Sus scrofa: one gene and its partners. The protein of the gene in region 3 interacts with the protein of the main gene of each other region in a pairwise test. Links are inferred from orthologs where the notes say so. Each region holds a gene or a part of one and is shown on either strand. Other genes may lie near its edges. The genes, in order: TRIB3, JUNB and ATF4.

The links.
Region 1: the proteins of ATF4 (region 3) and TRIB3 interact in binary tests that used the Homo sapiens proteins (3 or more experiments, as listed by UniProt). The link is inferred for Sus scrofa from reciprocal best matches to the Homo sapiens genes ATF4 and TRIB3.
Region 2: the proteins of ATF4 (region 3) and JUNB interact in binary tests that used the Homo sapiens proteins (3 or more experiments, as listed by UniProt). The link is inferred for Sus scrofa from reciprocal best matches to the Homo sapiens genes ATF4 and JUNB.

What each region holds. Positions count from the first base shown.
Region 1 is NC_010459.5:34,817,216-34,820,960, forward strand, and holds the start of TRIB3 (tribbles homolog 3), read right to left. Parts: upstream 2,378-3,745; 5' UTR 2,083-2,377; intron 1-2,082. UniProt on the Homo sapiens protein: Inactive protein kinase which acts as a regulator of the integrated stress response (ISR), a process for adaptation to various stress. Inhibits the transcriptional activity of DDIT3/CHOP and is involved in DDIT3/CHOP-dependent cell death during ER stress.
Region 2 is NC_010444.4:66,216,861-66,220,605, reverse strand, and holds the start of JUNB (transcription factor jun-B), read left to right. Parts: upstream 1-1,170; 5' UTR 1,171-3,745. UniProt on the Homo sapiens protein: Transcription factor involved in regulating gene activity following the primary growth factor response. Binds to the DNA sequence 5'-TGA[GC]TCA-3'.
Region 3 is NC_010447.5:8,743,527-8,747,271, reverse strand, and holds the start of ATF4 (cyclic AMP-dependent transcription factor ATF-4), read left to right. Parts: upstream 1-1,519; 5' UTR 1,520-2,418; intron 2,419-2,990; 5' UTR 2,991-3,082; coding exon 3,083-3,308; intron 3,309-3,404; coding exon 3,405-3,745. UniProt on the Homo sapiens protein: Transcription factor that binds the cAMP response element (CRE) (consensus: 5'-GTGACGT[AC][AG]-3') and displays two biological functions, as regulator of metabolic and redox processes under normal cellular conditions, and as master transcription factor during integrated stress response (ISR).

The DNA of each region.
Region 1 (3,745 bases), on a different chromosome or scaffold from region 3:
CGATCCCTGGGTTTGATCGATGGCCTTGATCAGTGGGTTGAGGATCCGGTGCTGCCACAAGCCTCGGCATAGGTTGCAGACATGGCTTGGATCTAGCGTTGCTGTGGCTGTGGCTTAGAGCAGCAGCTGCAGCTTCTATTTGAATCTTAGCCTGGGAACTTCCACATGCTGCAGGTGCAGCCCTAAAAAGACAAAAAAGAAAAAAAGAGACGTTACACTATGTCTGTTGAGTACCGTGTCTATCCCTCCTATGAAAGGGGGAGAAGGATGGAAGGTGGAGAGGAGGAGTATGGATGACAAAGGATGATGAATGAAGTGTACACTGAATGTACATATGAATGTTCTGGAATGAATATATGCACTGTCAAGTGAATAAAGCAAGCTGCTGAACGATATACCTGAGATCTCTTTTACATATAAAAACCCACCATCATATAAGAGGATGTATCTCCATATTTGTATATATAGGTGTAGAAATGCACAGGAAAAGGTCTGGAAGGACTCAGACTAAATTGGCCACAGTAGCTTCTGGCCTCCTGGGAGATCCCAGGAGAGGAAGGGATTTGGTAGGGAGGCAAGGGAATTTTGAATTTCAGTATTATTATTATTGTTATTATTAATAGCTGAATATGCTGACGTGCCACCCTTGGGAGTCTCAGAAATCTCTCCAGGGATAAGGCTAGGATGACACTTCTCACTGCAATGGCTCTTTGGAAAGTAAAATGATTCCTGGCTGTGTGGATGCTTTGTGCCCTGCAACCCACCCCTACGCACCCCACCTCCTCCTGTGGCCACCTCAGCACCCTAGGCTGCTTTGGATTTATCCGGGGCTCAGAGTCTGGTACCACCTGGGAGAAGCTCCACTGGACAGGTGGGGTAACTGAGTCTATAGATAAGCAAGGGAAATTTGCAGGTCATGAGGCAAGACTAGAATCTCTGCAGCAGGATGCAGGCATCCGCTAGTATCAATCTCTTGCTGTTCTCTGACGCTCTCTGGAGAACAAGGGCGGGTCATACCAACCGCATATAACTCACATGACTCAGGGCAGACAGGTGTACACACGCCCCTCAGAAACACTGTCCAATCCAGCCAGTCAAGGCACACATGCAGGTCAGAGAGGGGTGCACACATCATTAAGTGACACACATCTCGCCCTCCAAGGGCAGATGTGCATACACAAGCCAGCAAAGCTCTCATAACTATGTACTCACGACTGCGGGACAGTTACCAAGGCCACACGCTTCGTCTGACCCTCCCTCCCCGCCACGACCCCAGCGCGAAAGAAGTAGGTGGCCTCGCCCCGGCCTGGGCAGCTGGGCTAGTCTCGTGGGAGCGGAAGCGGCGAGCGTCCCGGGGCAGAAGGTTCAGCGGGAGCCGAGGGTCGGCGGCGGGGCAGGGACCGGGCAAAGGGAAGGCGACTGGGCCCCGGGTCTGGGGTAAGAGGCCTCGCTCCACCCTCACCCCAGAATCCAGGTACAACACACACAGTCGGCAGGAACGGAATACGCACGCACCGTACAGCGTGTGAACCAGGGCCTCCAGGCGGAGCGTACCTGCGAGCCACGCCCGCACGCCGCGCGCCGGCAGCCCTTGACCCTGCGCCTGCCCCGCTGGCGAGCACCCCGGCCGGTCTCCGCACAACTCCGCCAGCACCTGCCGCGGGCGCCCAGGAGACACGGCCTCATCAGGACCCCACTGGCCCACGCGGACTCAGATCCGCACCGGCACACCCCACAGTTACAGAGGCCCCCTGGCCGCCAGGGACCCCACAGACTTCCCCGCACCCAACCACACAGCTCCCCAGCCCGCCCCACACTCCAGCAAACGCAGACACTACACACCCCTGCGGGGGCGGCGTGGGGCCAACACAGTCCCCACTCCCTCCGTCCCGGCGACACGCTGCCACGCCCCGCTGGGGCGCACCCTCGCGCCCGCCCGCGTCGGCTGCACTCGGCGACCCTACGCCCCGCGGGGCCGCGTCACCGGGTCCGAGCGGGAACACTCAGCCCAGATCGCCCCCCGGACCGGACGGAGGCTCCGGGTCGCCCCTCTATCCACCACCTCCCGCTCCCGCCAGGTACCTTGCCCTCGCCAGCGGCGGGGTCCTGGTGCCGGCCAAGCTCAAGAGTCGCCAGGCACCCACGATGGCCCAGGCCGCTCGGCCCCGGCTGAGGTCGGCTCCGGATGGGGCTCTGGCCCGGGTCCCCAGCAGCCGGAATGTGTGCCGAGTCGCCGCCGCTTCCGCCGCGAGTGTCTCGGGAGCGCAGGGAGCCGGGCTTCAACTCCGGCCCGGGTGATGTAAACCTGAGCTAATCAGCCGCCGCCTGATGCCCTCCGGCGGGGGATTGCACCATCCCCTGCGCCCCGCCCCCTGAGGTCCCCGCTAGAGCGCGCCCCGCCCCGCTCCTCGTGTGTGGTCCGCAGGCGAGCCACCGACTTTCCCTTTCACCTTGGAAACAGCATTTTGCCTTTCTGGGCCTCAGTTTTCCCACCTGTGAAACGGAAGAACATCCTACCTTCTCAGGATGGGCCTGAAGAGAAAAAGAACAGTGATAGTTTCCTGCGTGCTTCCCGGGTTATAAAGCACTTTCCCGCCATTGTTTCATTGCAGTATAGGAGAACCTTGGGCGGGCAGAAAGCTCCATTCTCCCCATTCTACTAAGGAGCAGCCTGAGGCCCAGCTACAGGGTGGGGGGGTAGCTCTGCAAAGGCCGTGGATTTAGGAGCTCAATAGAACAATTGTTGTGCCCCGGGGAGAACTAGGGTGGGGTAGCCTTCACAGCATGCATATAATAGAGGCACTTCAGCCGTGTAGTTAAGAAAAGTGGGCCAAAGCGTGCCCACTGTGTTACCTGAGGAAATAGATTGAATAAATTAACACATGTTAAACGCTTAGAGCTGTGCCGCCCGGCACCTGGTAGATACTAAAGGAGTGGAAACTGGAGGCTCAAGGAGAGCCGGCACCTATAACAGGAATTGCACGCTTGGCCTGGGAAGCCCTGGTGCCACTAGCTGTTTGGAGAAGCATCCCTGTGCAGCCCCAAGGGTCCAATTCCCTTTAGGCCTTGATGTCTGAGTTCACCAGTGTCAAAAAATAACTCCACCAGACAGAGGTTAAGGGAAGGTGGGTGGAGTTAGCTTTGTTTCCCCGGTTGCAGAACCTTAGGGATCAGCTCCTCTGAGTGTGTGTGTGTGTGTGTGTCAGAGCCCTAGAGCATACCAGGAGGTTCTGGGATTTGATTTAACCCTGGAGACTCCCCCAGCCTGGAGCGATGAATGAACTCATTTTCTACACCAGGAGCTAGACTGACTGGGCTCTCCTACAGCCATAAGAGGCAAAGAAAGGCAGGATGTTGTCTCTCCAGGGCCTCACTGAAGCAAGACTGTGCTGGGTTGACTTATGCATTCTTAACTGCTTCATGTTGTGTCAGACCCTGTTCTAATTGCTGGATGACAGTGGTGACAAGCTTGACTCACCCCCATCCTCAGGGATCTTATAAATCAGTGGGGAGACAGAGCACTCTCAAGAAAATAAAATCAGTAGGCCCAGATAATTTCAAATAGATGATGTGTCATATATTTTCTTGAATAAATAGCATAGATTTATTCTCTATAAGATATGGCTGGGAAGTAGCTATTTTCAGCAGGGCTTATCAGGAAGGTGATGTTTAAACTAAGATCTTAAGGAAGAGGAGTGAGGAGTGCAAAGACATGAAGGGAGGAGTTCCTGTTGTGGCTCAGCAG
Region 2 (3,745 bases), on a different chromosome or scaffold from region 3:
GAGGCTCTGGGCTTCCCAGCCCATATCTCTAACCCCACCCAGAAATCCTGGTGCTTCCTCTCTCCAACATTGTCACCCCCCACACTGTTTGTCACTTCCCCTAGGAGGCCCAGTTCAACAGCCTCAGGCTTTCATAGGGTGTGGGCCTATTTTCTCAGCACATCCCCTGAAAATGAGGTACCCAGGATCTCAGCCAGGCTCAGGCCCCCCAAGACTTCACCAGCAGCATGGAGGGGGGGTGACAGAAACAGCTTTGTGGGAAACTCCCCTCGTGCCCAGCTGAGTCAGCCTGAGGAGACAAACTCTCCTCTCCTTCCTGCTTCCAAGAAAACTGAGCAGCTTCCTCTCCAGGAGAGGGGTGAGGGACCCCCCAAACCACAGAGATTGGGTAGGGAAGCTGCTGGCAAGCCAGGGTTCCTGGGGGGAGGGCCTCCGTGATTCTCAGCCTTTTCCTGCCAGCTGCCTGTCCACACCCAGGGGCAGGGACGAGGGAGTCTGGGTGCTGTGACTTGCGGGTTCTCGCCCTGGCCTGCCCACTGGCTGACTCACCAGCAGCCCCCAGCCCAGTTTTCTATTAAGGGCCCTGCCAGCCAGTGGAGCCGGCTGTGTGTGTGGGGGGGGGGGTGGGGGGGTGTCACCAGGCTATTTATAAGAAGGAGAAGTCCCTCCTGCCAAGGCCAAAAGCCCCAGAGAGACCTGTGGGTGGGGGTGGGAGAACTTCCTCCTTATCCAGTCCCCTAGGCCCCCGGGCCCTGGGCATGAGGGAAGCCTGGACACAGACTCCTTGGGCAGATGCTGGTCTGGAACCCAGGGCCTGGGCAGTCCCCAGCTGCTAGTCTGGGCACCCAGGGCTGATGGAGGAGGGGGCTCTCCTCTCTGGGCCAGCCTTGGCGCCAGTGGGACGGCGTGAGGGGGTGGTGCCCAGGCCACAAGGGTGAGACTGGCAGGGGCCTGGAACCGGCTGTACCAGCTCAGCTGGGCCCCCGCCCTCCCTCACTGGCCCATCCCCACCCCCTGCTCAAACACCCGTGCAGAGTGCAGAGAGTGACCCGACCCCACTCCAACATGCCGGCCTGCCCCCAAACACACTAGCACCCCTCTGCCCTGTGCCCAACCCTGTTTGTCTAAAGGATAAAGGAGACCTTTTTTTTTTCTCTTTCTTTTTCGGGACCCAGGTGTGGCATATGGACGTTCCCAGGCTAGGGGTCGAATCAGAGCTACAACTGCCGGCCGGCCTACACCACAGTCACAGCGATGCCGGCTCCGAGCCACTTCTGCGACCTACGCTACAGCACAGGGCAACTCTGGACATCCTCATGGATACTAGTCGGGTTCTTTTCTGCTAAGTCTCTATAGGAATTCCAGGAGACTCTTCTTGAAAGGGCCTGCAGAACTTGACAAACAGCTGGCACTGCATAAATGCCTCTCTAGTTGTGATTATCCACACAAAAAGAGCTGAAATTCTGGAGTCAGACATCTCAAGTTCTAGATCAATTCCAGTGCTTATAGCTATGTGACATGGGGCAAAGTTCCTTACCTTTCTGTTCCTAAGTTTTTTAGTCTGTTAAATGGGGATACAAAGAGCATGCATTTCGCTGGATTGTTGGAAACAGGCAATGAGTTATTCCATGTAAACCACTTAGAAGAGTGCCTGGCCCATGGTAAGAGCCATATAAGTGTTAGCTATTAAAATAATAATTATTATTTCTCAGTCTGTTGGCCTGTCTCAAGAGTCTCTGAGTTTGCATGACTCTAATCTTGCATCTCTCCCTGCCCTGACCCCCACCCCCATACATCCACTTTTCCTTGCTCAGGCCTTGCCCTCCATCTCTACGCTCATGGGCCAGTCTTGCCTCTCTCCAAGGCTCCCCTGGCACAGCCAGCTTCAGCACTGGTCAGGGATGACTCACTGTGTACTCCTAGCCTGTGGGACCTGCAGGTTAGCCTCCTGAGATGCTGCCCTCCAACCAGACCTGCCCAGCCCCCCAACACTACCCCGTTGCGCCCCCGCAGGGCCCAGCCAGATGTCAGCTGCAGTTATTAGCATGGGCGGGAGACACAGGCCTGGCAGCATGCCTGCCAGACTCAGCGGCCACTGGAATCTCCCTTGAGCCTGGGGAGGGGGAGGGGAGCAGTTCAAGCAAAGGAGGAGGGGAGGGGGTACCCAGAGGTCACAAGGACCCTCCAAAGATGGGGACACCCCCAGCTTCTCATGGGACCTTCCTCCCCAACACCACCACCGGCTCTGCTGGACTTCCCCCTGCCCCCACATAGCTCAGTTTCTCTTTCGCCTCTTTCGTTTTCCTTCTCTCCTCCACACTTGGTGAGCTGTGTCTGCCCTACAAAGGCTGGCTATCTCCTCTCCCTCAGCCTAAGTCTACCCTAAAGAAACTTCCATGTTTCCAAAAGATAGACATGTCTCTTTCAAGACAGAGAGGAGACAGATACTGAGAGGCTCATCTCTGGTTCTAGTGGCTCATAGCCTACCTCCTGGAAGTCCCACCTTAAGTATAACTAAAGCCTCAGCATCTAAACCTTCACCCATTTTGGGGAAGAGGCTCTGGAGAGGTTCCCTCAGATTCGACTCATGGATTTTCAGGTCCTCTCTGTCAGCAGGGGAAGGGAGCCCTCAGATGAGGGAGTGTGGATCCCCCTTTGGGTATTCTGGATGGTGAGGAGACCCTCACACTAAAATAGGAGTAGGGCCTCTCACCCACGTGAGTGAAGGAGGAAGCACCCCAGCCCCTAGGGATGTATTTGGGGAAGGACCCCAGATCTCCTGGCAGAAAGTAAGGGCACCCAGCATGAGGTAGGAGGCCGTCGTGCCCGCCCGCCCAGGCGCCGGGGTCGCCCAGAGGCATTGGCGCGCCCCTTCTGCGCCCATCGGGCCGGGGGCGAAGTCCGACCCAGGCCCGCGGGCAGGCGCGGACCTGCCAGGCTGGGTCGGGCTGGGCAGGGCCTGGCAGGACGCGGCCCCAGAGCGGCTGGGTGGGGCTGGGCCAGGAGGCCGTGGGGGCCCCGGGGGCGGCGGTCGGGGCTGGTCGGGACTAGCCGTCTGGGGGCCCGGGCGCGCCCTGGGACCTGGCAGATACTCGGGCTCCCGGCTCCTGGCCGGGGGCCCCGGGACAGTGCTGACCCCACCCCTTCCTGTGCCCTTATATGGGCGTCAGAGAGAGACTCCGGGGGCCGCCCCGCCCCCAGTCCTGCCTGCGGACTCCGGCCTGTTGCCTTGGCGACCAGGCCCCGCTCCCCGGCGCGTCCCCCTCCGTCCGGCTAATGGAACCGTCCCCGGATTGCTAGCCTTTACGACACTAGGGCTGAACCACTGCAGGGGTGGGGGTCGATGACTGGGGACCTCTGCGGTTGGGTGTGTTCCGCTCGCTCTGACTTCCTCGGGGGTCGCAAGCCCAGGTTCCTCTTCCGAGGCGCAGGACCCGGCTGGACCCAGGGCGGGGCATATGGTCCCGTAGGATTCGAGTGACGGAGGCAGGGCCCGGCTCCTTCCCCCGGGGCTGTTGCCACACTTCCTGCCGCGGCGCTCTTTCCCCAGCCTGTTTCTAAGGAAGAGTGGGGTTGGGCGACCGCGCCCCGGCCGTCAGGCTGGGTCCAGGCACCAGGAGTCTTCACGGTGTCGGTCAAGCCGAGGATCACTGGGGGAGGGCTTTGGGGGTGGGGAGAGAGTATACTGGAACTTAGAGGTCACTCACGAGAGGGGGCGCCCATCATGGAAGATCTAGCAGTCCAG
Region 3 (3,745 bases):
CTACGTGAGTGGTACTGGTGCATCAGAGTGCTTGCTTGGGGTCTCCATAATAGAACGGATGGGGTTATTCCACTCCTACGGTGTCCAATTGGGGCAGTGTTACTTTACTTCTTAAGCATCTGCATGGACATCCATCAAGAGGCACTGACAAGTCTCCCATACAGCAGAGAGGAGGACATGCCCCGTGGCTCCTTAATGACACCTTTGGAAGACTTGGGTAGTGGCTCGGGGGTAGTGGCTCGGGATTCTTACTGTCTTTGCACCAAAAGACCAGATGCCTTGTACATGTTTCCAGAGAATTGAGATTCCCCAAGGGGAAAGAAAAACCATACCTAGTATCCAGTATGCTTTCCTAGACCAGCTGTTTATAGTTGTTGATTTCATCTCAGTAAATAACAGTCCTCTGAGGGAGCAGGATATGATGGGGATGGGAGGTGGGTTAGAAGACCTGCGTTCTAGTCACAGGAGTAATGGCAACCATTTATCCAGCACTTACCAGGTACCAGGCGCACGGCTCAGTGCTGTGAATATATTATCTTAACTTCATTCTAAGGATGAGGATACCCATCATTAGCCTCGTTTTACAGATCAGGAAACGAAGACTCAGTGGGGGTAAGTCACTTAACCAGAATGTCTCCACTAATAAATGGGAAAGCCAAGATTTTTTGGAATTGGCCCTTAAATCTGTCATAACTCCTACCCCATACTGCCCACACCAGGCAAGACATGTCATGCCTTTAGTCATCAGCTTACCACTGTAAAGAAATGGTTGGGCTAGACTGACTCAAATCAATGAATGGTTAGTTGTTATGTAGGAAGTGCCTGACCAATTTTTGACCTCACTGTCCTCATAGAAATAATATTTGTAGGGCCCACTGAAATGAAGGGGAGTGGAAACTCAAGGTTTCCCTACAGGGCCTGATTGGAGGACTGGAAGATGGTGAAAGAGCTTTCTCCTAGCTCTTGACAGTTCCCCAGTAGAGAGGGCAAGTTACTGGCCCTAACCTGGACTGTGGCCTCCAAACACACAAATTCCCCTAAGTGGGCAGGTCTGATCAAGCACCCAGGCAGTAGGACTTGCTGGGAAGTGGTTATGCCGCGGAGTTACAGAGTTGGTAAATAATTGAAACTACCCTAGAGTGAGAAAGAGCAGCTAAATAAAATACCTCATTTTTAGGGGAAGTGAAACTACATAAACTGAAAGAAGTTCCCCTGTCATAGGTTTCATTCTTTAACATAAAAGGAAACTTGTATTTTAGCAGAATGGATATGTAAAAATACAATTGTTTAGACCACAGGATTATGGATTTCCTCCACTCGACTCGCCTCTACAGAGTTGAGTCAGGACGCAGAGCAGGCCTTTGATGGTAGGTGGATCTCAGCTGAGGTCATCAGTCTCCCCTTCCAGTTACTGAAGGGTTCACACGTCCTCAGTATTCTGCAAGTGTGTGCAAGTGAAAACAGACGAAATAACATTTACTCTTGACTAGTTTCACATTCGGGCCTAAACCCGGTCCCTAGTTCGGAGCTTCTCCAAGGGCGGCAGGAAAGGACCACGAGGATTCGGACCTAACGCCACTATTTGGATCTGGGCCAGGGCTGCCCGGGGCAATCAAGGCCAGCTGGGTGGGCGGGGCTGAGGGAGCCTTTGCAGAGCGGCGCTACGGCGAGCAGGACGCCGGGGCCCGGCGGCGGGAACCTCACCCACCTTCCCGCGCAGATCAGGGGCTCCCTCGCTGAACAACCCGCCCGCCTCGGAGCCTGAGCCAATAGAAACTCGATGTATATATGACTCACCATGCCTAACCAATCATTTCGACGCGCGCTCTCCGCCAGTAGCTCGCGCGATAACCAGGAGACCTCGTACTTCACAATAAAAGCCCTTCTTGGGGTGAAAGACTCGTCTCCGCCTCTCGGGCTAGCACCGGAAGTAGCTGTGCAAGATCCTTCCGCGCATCCCGGCAGCGGACGGTGGTGATCCTTAGATCTCAAAAGCCTTGTAAAGTAGTGCGCCCTTTTTTGAGGCTGTAAATAAAAGTAACTCATTTGGTCCTCACAGTTTCGCCCTCGACATAAAAGTCAGAGACTGGAAATGGTAGGGGCGTCGGTTAAATGAAAGCGCGTGGGTGGGAGGCGCTGGTCACGTGACCTAGGCGGAAGAATATTCTCTGTGATGCGTCCCACAGAGGCAGAGTCTATAAAGGACCCGCGCTCGGCGAACCGCCGCCATTTCTTTTCCTCTCCGCTGTAGATGTAGTCCTTTTCTGCGAGTGGGCGCTTTTCTTCCTCCGCTCCCGCAGGGTCCGCGGCCGCCATGGCGTATTAGAGGCAGCAGTGCCTGCGGCAGCATTGGCCTTTGCAGCGGCGGCAGCAGCACCAGGCTCTGCAGCGGCACCCCCCAGCGGCTTAAGCCATGGCGTAAGTACCGGGGCCCGACGCTCTGGGCCGTGTCCCCCCGGGTCGGTGAAGGGTTCTTGTCTGATGCTGGGGCGCGGTCCGGCGGCGTCGCGGAGGGGGAAGCGGTTTTACGAGCGCCCGGGACGCGTGGCCGCTGATGGGGTGACGCCGAAGCGCCAGCGCCCCTGGGTCGAGAGGCCGCTGCGCTGTTCGGGCGTGGGGCGAAGTCCTCGGTACCTCCGGCCCCGGCCGGGGGGCCGGGGCTCCCCCTGGGGCTCCACGAAACGTGGCAGCAGCCAAGATGGCGGCGGGGCAGGGCGGCGGCCGCGGCGTGAGTCACGGGCGGGCGTGGGCGGGGCCGGACTCGGCCGGGAGGACCGGGCGCCTTCCTCTGGTGGCGGGTCGGGGAACGGCCGGGCGTCCATCTTGCGCCGCCAGGCGGACGCGGGGAAGGTTGGCAGCCGGGGCCAGCGGCCCCCAAGTCTCAACAACCACACGGGGTCGGGATTTGGCCGTCCTGCCCCGGGGGTGGAGAGGCGAAAGGCTCAGACCAGCTGTTCTCTAATGGGGCTTGGTTTCTGGTTCCTGTTAAGGCTTCTCACGGCATTCAGCAGCAGCGTTGCTGTAACCGACAAAGACACCTTCGAATTAAGCACATTCCTCGATTCCATCAAAACTCCGCAACATGGCCGAGATGAGCTTCCTGAGCAGCGAGGTGTTGGTGGGGGACTTGATGTCCCCCTTCGACCCGTCGGGTTTGGGGGCTGAAGAGAGCTTAGGGCTCTTAGACGAATATCTGGAGGTGGCCAAGCACTTCAAACCTCATGGGTTCTCCGGCGACAAAGCTAAGGCGGGCTCCTCCGAATGGCTGGCTGTGGATGGGTTGGTCAGTGCCTCAGACAACAGCAAGGGTGAGTGGGCTTTTCCCTGCCGGTGGGGTCTGGTGATAAAGCCTTGCTGCCGCGTGCATCTGACTCTGGGTTCCGTCCCTCTTAAATCTCTTGCAGAGGATGCTTTCTCCGGGACAGACTGGATGGTGGAGAAAATGGATCTGAAGGAGTTCGACTTCGATGCCCTGTTGGGTATAGATGACCTGGAAACCATGCCAGATGAGCTTTTGGCCACGTTGGATGACACATGTGATCTCTTTGACCCCCCACTCCAGGAGCCCCCGCAGATAGTGAACCCAATTGGCCATCTCCCAGAAAGTTTACCAACAACTGACCAGGTTGCCCCCTTTACGTTCTTGCAAACTCTTCCCCTTTCCCCAGGGGCCCTGTCTTCCACTCCAGATAATTCCTTTAGTTTAGAGATACAGGGTGAAGTGGAAATCTCGGAAGGAGATAGG